2 linked regions of the Sus scrofa genome follow. Each later gene encodes a partner of the first gene's protein in a complex. Links are inferred from orthologs where the notes say so. Each region holds a gene or a part of one and is shown in the gene's direction. Other genes may lie near its edges. The genes, in order: CAST and CAPNS1.

Evidence for each region.
Region 2: the proteins of CAST (region 1) and CAPNS1 are in contact, whole or in part, in a crystal structure (PDB 3BOW), measured with the Rattus norvegicus proteins. The link is inferred for Sus scrofa from reciprocal best matches to the Homo sapiens genes CAST and CAPNS1. Residues at the interface, in NP_445747.2 of Rattus norvegicus: Pro652, Ile653, Asp654, Ala655, Leu656, Ser657, Asp659, Leu660, Asp661; in NP_058814.1 of Rattus norvegicus: Phe103, Leu106, Gln109, Leu110, Ile125, Lys128, Val129, Arg132, His133, Leu136, Phe166, Trp170, Lys174, Gln177, Lys181.

The regions. Positions count from the first base shown.
Region 1 is NC_010444.4:103,255,337-103,259,685, forward strand, and holds the start of CAST (calpastatin), read left to right. Parts: upstream 1-1,316; coding exon 1,317-1,346; intron 1,347-4,349.
Region 2 is NC_010448.4:45,510,213-45,514,492, forward strand, and holds the start of CAPNS1 (calpain small subunit 1), read left to right. Parts: upstream 1-1,197; 5' UTR 1,198-1,246; intron 1,247-2,092; 5' UTR 2,093-2,110; coding exon 2,111-2,313; intron 2,314-3,220; coding exon 3,221-3,254; intron 3,255-3,557; coding exon 3,558-3,647; intron 3,648-3,801; coding exon 3,802-3,859; intron 3,860-3,956; coding exon 3,957-4,021; intron 4,022-4,280. UniProt on the Homo sapiens protein: Regulatory subunit of the calcium-regulated non-lysosomal thiol-protease which catalyzes limited proteolysis of substrates involved in cytoskeletal remodeling and signal transduction. Essential for embryonic development.

The DNA.
Region 1 (4,349 bases):
GCCAAGTTAAATCACACACACACGCACCAGTTTGTTTTTGTAATATGCTTTTTGATCCAGAAGGTCCAGGCTTGGGCCATACTTCAGTTGGTAAATTCTTCTCCTATAGCAGAAAAGGTGTCTAATTCTTGAGATTCTTAGGCAGGAGGTTGGAGGCATAGACAGGCCACGCCCGGTCCCGCTCTCACATTGCACAATCTTAAGCCAAGTCTGGGCAAGTCGAAGGAGGAACCCCGAGACCTCCAGCTCCTCCTTTCTTGGGGATCTCAGCCGACCTGGGGTGTTGGGGAGAGGGGGCAACACTGGGTAGAGGTACAGGCTGAGAGTGTTAAGCTGCGGGCGGGAGCCCTGGGCCGCTGCAGCCCAGGCTCAGCCAGTGGCTGGCAGGAAGGGGAGGGCCCAGCCAGGAGAGGGGGAGCCCCCACGCAGGGTTCGGGGCTGGGTCGGAAAAGCTGCCTCACGGGCGCGCCCGCTGGGCCCTCCGCTCCCTCCCTCCCTCCTAGCGTTCCCGCCCCGGGCCTCCCTCTCCCTTCCAGTCTCCGCTGTGCCCTCCCGGAGGCAGCGCTCTCCAAGGCCTTACCATGTCCCAGCCGGGCCAGAAGCCCGCAGCCTCCCCACGTCCCCGGCGAGCTGCTGCGGCCCGCCACACCCAGGAGGTGAGTGGCACTCCTGCCAGAGCCACAGGGCTGGGCGCTGGGAGGACCTCGGCCCCAGGCCCCCGGAGCCATGCGCTACTTCCTTTGGGGTAGCCTGCCAGGGCCAGATGCCCCATGGGCCCCCTCCTGGGCCGGAGAAGGATGCGAGACTCTGTACCAGCCTCTGGGCAGGTGGTTGGAGGTGGCCAGGGGTTGCCGGGCCTCGGCCAAGCGCATAGGGCGTGGCATAAACCAGATTGAAGGTGGCCCACTTGGGGAAAAGTTGGTTGCTGAGACTGGGGTAAAAAGCAGATGAGGATAAAAGGGGAATAAAGTTCATCTGGACCCCCAGAGAGTGGGGGTCTTTTTCGTAAAGTGATAAAAGTCAGGACTGCAGGGCGTGGCTGCCTGGAGAAATAACACTTCTTCCCTAACCGGCCTAGAGCCAAATCGGGGTGGGGCGGGGCGGGGCGGGGCCGGCTCAACCCAGTGGGGGTGGGGCCCTACCTCGGCCCCGCCCAGATGCCTTCCTCCCTGGCAGCAGTGGGGCTTACAGAACTCAGGACCAACCAGGTCCAGGGCTGGAGGAGTGTGAGCCAAACCCCTTCTGCGCTGCATCCCGTGTTCTCGCGTCCTCTCCGGGTTCTACTCTGCGCGACTCAGAGCAAATTGGTTGTCGCCATGGCATTCGCAAGCTGGTGGTACAAGACGGTAAATAGGAGTGATCGTGCCTGGGCAGGACCGGGAAGGGAATGTGCTTTCTGGGCGTGCAGGCCAGTTTATTGTCCAGGGTTTGGTGAGGAAGGGGTGGGGACCAGTTGTGACCTCCTCTCAGACCTTCAGGTTAGGCTCCTGGAGAGGGTGAGACGCACCCTGCTGTGGTATGTGCAAGCTAGCTCAGACGTGCAAGTCGTTGGTGTGAGCAAAAGCACCAGGCTGTGCTCACGCTCCCAAGTTGAATGGAACAGGAATTGTTGCTGGAGGAATTCAGCCCTTGGACACGGATTCCTGAATGAACTCCTACTGGACTCAAGAGAGCTCAGATTTAGTGTTTGTTTTTAAGGCATAAGTAAAGCTCAAAACTTTTAGAGGCTTGTTGGACGTACATTCTCCACTGCAAAGGAGGAGAGGCAGCTGGAATGAGGGCAAGTAGAAAATCCAAAACTCCAAGGAGCAGAAGAAACTGACATCAAGACCGATGTTTAGAATGAGAGAGCAGCCTCTGCTCTGTGTTTTATTACTTTGGATGAGGGACCTAGATGTTTCATTTGTTTAATGCATTGAATGCCTTTCCAGACAATTAGGTGTGATAGCCAGTCAAGCTGGTGCTTGTAAGGCTTTGAATCAGGAAGTGTGACTTAATGTTACAATGCCCCCCCCCCAAAAAATACACAAAAGTTTTGTAAACAGAATAAAAATAGTTATATCCCATTGATATATGGTGAAAAATTTAAAATGAGTCCTCTCAGCATGTGCTAGGATGTTGTTATCAGATACTCTTTAGAGAGAAATCTTGTGTTGGAATCTGTAAACTGTCCCTTTTCAGCCAATGGGTGTTCACTGAGTATCTAATGTATGCCAGACCCAGTACTAGTCTTGAAGTACACAGTGGAAAACCAGACAGAATTCTTGTTCTCACAGGGCAATGGGTCAACCTTTTTGAAACTGTTTCCACATCTATAAAATTGGGGTGGTAATAAGTACCACATAAGAGTTGGTGAAGAGTAGATTCATGAATCAAATTACCATGCTTATATGCCTTTAATGATTGGGAATTCCTGTTTCCCCTAAGATGTTTCTTCATGAATGCTTCCCATTACACTTTCTGGGTTTTTAAAATGTTTCATCTTATTGATGTTCTAAAAGCAAATGTTTGCTTTGCGTCATTATTGTCCTAAGGTTCTTATCAAAAATGCCCAACTTGAATTACCTGCAAATATGGATGGCAGTGGTTCAGGGCTGACATCAGTCTTCTTTCAAATTCATGATTCTTTAAAGGAAATTATGCTGGAATATCTGGATGAAGATTGTTTAAATCTATGCTTTTAACCTTGTTATGTTTAGGCATAGTTTGACATTTTAGCTAAAAACTTCTCTTGTAATATAATTCTGGAACTATTAGAATTTTTTTTTTTTTTTTTTTTTTTTTTTGCTAGTAGGAACCTCCTGAATCAGCAAACTGCCTATGATCAAGCTTTGACTTTGCCCAAACTAGTGCTGTCCAGTAGAAATATAGTGTGAGCCATATATGTAATTTTAAATTTTCTAGTAGTCACATAAACAAAAGCAAAAAGAAACAGGTGAAGTAAATGCTAATAACATTTTATTTAACCCTCTATTTCCCAACCATTGTTATTTCAACAATCAATGTGCAAATCATTGAGATATTATACATCTTCTTTGTCATATTAATTCTTAAAAATCCAGCATGTATTTTATACTTAGAGCTCATCTCAATTCATACTTGATGTATTTCAAGTGAGCAATAGGCATGAGTGGCTAATAGATCGGGTATTGACCAGTATAGTTTTAGACGTGGGTTTCTAACTGGTTTTGCTAGGTGGCTATGAAGGCATGATCAGAGAACATTTTTAGAATTAAATGAAATTTGTGAACCATTTTTCCACAACAAAGTACACACATACACACATAAAAGCCCATCCATAAATCCGCTGAAGATCTATGGAGACAATTTATAACACACACACATACATGATATTTATGTTTTTATATACTATTATATATAAGATTTATGCAATTTATTTACACAAAAATTTTATACAAAAATACAATATATAAAAGATGTATGTATTTATATATATATGTATAATATATATAATAGTTTTGGTAAATCCTATAATTAAAATATCTTTACTGGAACCCTTTAAATACTGACAAAGATTGTGATTGACATAGCTTTCAAAATTTAGGTAGAATAAGGAGTTCCCATTGTGGCTGAGTGGTACCGAATCTGACTAGTATCCATGAGAACACAGGTTCGATCCCTGGCCCCGCTGAGTGGGTTAAGGATCTGGCATTGCTGTGAGCTGCAGTGTAGGTTGCAAACGTGGCTCAGATCCACATTGCTGTGACTGTGGCTACAGCTTTGATTTGACCCTTAGTCTGGGAACTTCCATGTGCTATGGGCGTGTGGCCCTGAAAATTAAAAAAAAAAAAATTAGGCAGAATATGATAAAATAATTAAAAGATGTATCTATGATGTGTTTTGTTTAAGGGACTGCCACCTGTAAAGCCAGTCAGTAAAACATTACAATGTCTATTTCCCCCCACTGCATACCATCAATATATTGATCTTATCTTTTGATGAATTAAGTTGCTTTGGTAAAAATTTTAAAACAAAACTTTACAAAGCTAGATTTGAAGAGCATATGATGAGCTTCACAATGAAGAAGTATGAAGAAGAGTAAATCTGGTTGGCTGACATACAGTAATCACACTGCTGAGTCATAAGCTGACTTTATTAGGCCATGTTAATTAAAGGTGTTTCTTAGTCCAGCGGCAGCGTGATCAAGAAGCCCAGTCATTTGGGAGGCTCCATCATTGTGGCCAGCCCAGAAAGAGTGTCACAAGCCTTCCCTGACAGGACAGACCACTTGGCTGCCGTGACTTTTAGGAGTAAGGAATTGTAGATTCCGTGAGAGGGGTATACGCTTTAAGGTGGAAGGAGAATGGAGGTCAGACATAACTTTCCTC
Region 2 (4,280 bases), on another chromosome or scaffold:
CACAGCTTGCAGCAACACCAGATCCTTAACCCACTGAGCAAGGCCAGGGATCTAACCCGCATCCTCATGGATGCTAGTTGAGTTCTTAACCCACTGAGCCACAAGAGGAACTCCAACAGCTACTGTTTACTAAACATTTACCACAAAATTCTCGTAGAGGCCTAGAAGTGGGGACATGGAAACCCTTGTTGGCATTTTACAGATTAGAAAATCATTGTTTAAATCACTGTTATGGGACCCCAAATTATTAAGAGGCAAAGTCAGGATTCAAACTCCAGCTGAACCAGCTTCCCAGGAAGAGGCTAAGGGCTGGACAGCCAGCCAGTGTGCCTGAAGGAGCCTTGAAAGAGTACTGGGCGCTCACAGGTTGAAGGTTGCAACTAGAGAGCAAGCAAAAGGGCTCCAAGGGTTGCTTCAGTTGCCATTTTTCCTTTCAGTTGCATTCCCCACCCTGCCCACCACCTGACCTTGGGAACATCAAGCTTCAGAAACCAGGCTGTGGCCCCCAGCCTCTTCCAGTGTCTGGACCCTCTTTAGAGACTGGAAGACTGAGACCAGGTAAAATGATTTTTTTTGGTCCATCCAAGTAAAATGATTCTGGTGACCCTGACCCAGGGGGTAAAGGGGTGCAGGTGGAGGAACAAAGAAGTCCCATTCCTGGGAGTAACTGGGCTGCCATCAGGGCTGTGCCTGCAGGGTCCCCCCACACAGATGAGGGCGCTTGTCCTCAGACTGTGAGCAAAACAAAATCCGGGGTCTCCAGACGCTGTCTGTCGCGACAAGGCTAGGATAGGGTACAAGTGCCAAGAGTCCCAAGAATCCCTATCCGAGCAGACCAAAAACATCTGGAGGCTTGGCTTTGGGACGACAATTCACACTACAACATTTAGGCTTGGCGACTGTTCGGGTCACCTCGGAGTCCTGGTCCCCGAGTGCCTGCATTGGGGACCGAAAGGCGTAGAGAAAGATTTCCAGTCTATGAACTCCGGGCGGCGTCAGAACTGCGGCTCAGGAAACGCACAGCGAATTCTCAGCAGCCGCACCCTGTTACACTGGGCGGGGCCAGCAGGCGCCTGCGCAGTTTTAATACCGGCTCTAGGACCGCGCGGAATCCGTCCGGGCCGCCCTGCATAGCCTAACCCTGCCCGGGCCGCCTGAGTCACCCGCCCCGCCCTGCGGAGCCGGACGCAGCCGGAGGCCCAGGAGCTGCACAGAGAAGCGGACCCGCGGACGCGTGAACGAGGCGGTGAGCGCCCAGTCCGGACTTCCCCCCTGGTCTCCCTAAGCCCGGCCCTGGCGGCCTCCAAAACCATAGAGATCCTACAATTTTGGTCTCAGGAGTCCCCTAGACCCATGTTCAAACCCCTAGATCTGTCTGGCCCCAGTTATCCCGCCCCGGAGACTCTTCCACCCTCCCTCTCAGGTTCTGAAGTAGGAGCATGGATTTGAGAGGTAGCCGGTAAATTCAGCTCTGGGTGCGGCCTCCAGAATCGCGATCCTAGATCCGATCTCAGTTCTAATGGGGACTCCGTTATCTCGGACCCCGGGGCTCACACCCACAGTCTTAGACCCGAACCCACAGACCCAGCAATGACACTGTTATCTCGCTGCTGTTTGTACCTAAACCCGCAAGCTTACATTCTGGCTTCCCTAAATCCTGGCCCTGGGGCCTCCAGGCAGAGAATTTCTGATCCACGCCCTGATCCGCCCCAGACCTCTACATCAGTTTTGGGGCTCTGAATCCCAGATTAGAGCGCCTGCTTGGGGCCCCCATCTCGAGAACCCCACTTGACTTGGCTGGTGTCTGGTGCTTAATGATGCCTATGCGTATACTCAGTCCAGGGTCCTTCGAGCCAGATATGGACTCTTTGGACCGGGAAGAGGTTTCAAACCAGATAATCCGACTTTATGCCACCCATCCGAGACACCCTCCCCCAGAAGCCCAGGCCCTATCCTGAATGAACCCTCGAGCCCCAGTCAGAGGCTTCTTATTACTTCCCCCAGTCCAGCAGCCAGAAATGCGTGTATTTGGGGGGGAAGGGGCGGGCTTAGGGACGGGACAGCAACTTGACTCCTTTTTTCTCCCCCTCAGGAATCTTGAGTCACAGCCATGTTCCTGGTTAACTCGTTCCTGAAGGGTGGCGGCGGCGGCGGCGGGGGAGGCGGGGGCTTGGGCGGGGGCCTAGGGAATGTGCTCGGAGGCCTGATCAGCGGGGCCGGAGGCGGCGGTGGCGGCGGCGGTGGCGGAGGAGGCGGCGGCGGTGGTGGCGGAACTGCCATGCGCATCCTGGGCGGGGTTATTAGCGCCATCAGGTAAGGCGGGGCCTGCAGAGGGGCGGGGCCTGGAGGAGGAGGCTGGTCCCGCAAGAATAGAATGGGGTAACTTAGACCCGGACCCGGAACATTAATTAGGCTGGGGCTGGTCTGGGCCAGCAGACCGGCCTTGAGGAGGCCGACTGTATTGAGTTCAGGGAGCGGGACTTGATATGGGAGTAGTTTTGACTGTGGTGGGAGACACAATTTGATGGGCCAGGTGGGGCTTAATGGCCAGGTGCAGCCTCCTTCCGCTAACCTGGAGACTAACGTTAAGGGGGCGGAGCTACTGAAGCCGGGTGTCACTTCACTGGGGCAAAGCTTACCTAGGGGCGCGGCATAGCCCTCGTAGGTGCGTTCAGGGGTGTGCCCAGAAGAAGGCCAGGCTTAATGGGATAGGGGAAAAGGACTTGAAGGGACAGGGCCTGGCCAGGAACTGGCTGGATTAAAATAGAAAAATGTCCTGAGGGAGGTAGGGCGGGTGGTCGGTAGGGGCCTAGTTAGTTTTGGCCCCTGAATGTGATCCCTTGAAGGAGTGAGAACTCACGGAGCTGGGGTGGGATCTTGGGAGGACGCAAGTGTTCAGAAGCCGTGGAGATGGAGTAGGTTCCTAGACAGGTGAGACCTGAGGAAGGTGGGCCCTGGGAAAGCTGGGGCCGGGCTTCTAGGAAGTATGCCCTCGAAGGGGCTTTGTCTTTTGAGAGATCCGCCACTGTGTAGGGGGCACAACCAGGGCAGCAAGGATAGGGACAGGTGAGGGCAAAGACTGATGAGGCAGGCGGAGGGAGCTGGTAGGTAGGCTGGCAGGCTACGCGGTGGGGCTTGGTGGGCTGGGTCGTGGGGCTGGAGCTGCCAGTTGGAGGCCCCGCCCCCTGGCTCTACACTAACTTCTCCCGTTTCCCTTCAGTGAGGCGGCTGCGCAGTACAACCCCGAGCCCCCGGTAAGCCGCCCTTCGCACTCAAGCCGCCCTTCGCAGTCGGAGACCCCTTCTCATTCGGAGGCCTTTTCCAGCACCCGTCCTTGTCCCTCTGAAAAAAGCCCCACACCTCTCCTTATGAAATTTATCTCATGAAGTCTCCCCCTTGTCATGTCCCCAAACTTAGTGGTATCCGCTCCCTAATCACTGGCCACCTCTCATTCTCTGGTCACTCAACCTCCCAGCCCACTCTGACTTTCCCATTTAGGGCTGTCCTGGCCAGGACACCCCTCTCCCTTCCTGCTCTGAGATCTCCTCCTTCTGCAGCCCCCTCGCACCCATTATTCCAACATTGAGGCCAATGAGAGTGAGGAGGTCCGGCAGTTTCGGAGGCTCTTTGCCCAGCTGGCTGGAGATGTAAGTAACCTGGGGTCCCCAGACCTGTCGGAATCCTCCGGTGCCTTCCCTTGGGCTGCCCTTTACGTGTACAATCCTCAAGTTCCCATCCTCCCTCATGACACGCACAGACCCCTTCCAGTCACCCCGACCCATTCCTAACTTTTCCCCTCAGGACATGGAGGTCAGTGCCACGGAACTCATGAACATTCTCAACAAGGTCGTGACCCGACGTGAGTGTCCGGCGTCAACACATGGGGCAGGCTTAGGGGCATGGTGGCTGGGGCAGCTGTGATCTCTGACCTCTGATTTTCAACCTGTTCCCCACAGACCCTGATCTGAAGACTGATGGTTTTGGCATTGACACATGTCGAAGCATGGTGGCTGTGATGGATGTATCCTTGAGGGCAGTCTTGGGGAGGCCTTGGTGAAGATGGGATTTCCTTCCTTCCTTTTTTTTTTTGCTGTTTAGGGCTGCATCTGTGGCATATGGAAGTTCCCAGGCTAGGGGTCGAATTGGAGTTACAGCTGCTGGCCTACGCCACGGCAACATGGGATCCAAGCCATATCTTCGACCTTCACCACAGCTCATGGCAATGCCAGATTCTTAACCCACCGAGTAAGGCCAGCGATCAAATCCGAATCCTCACGGAT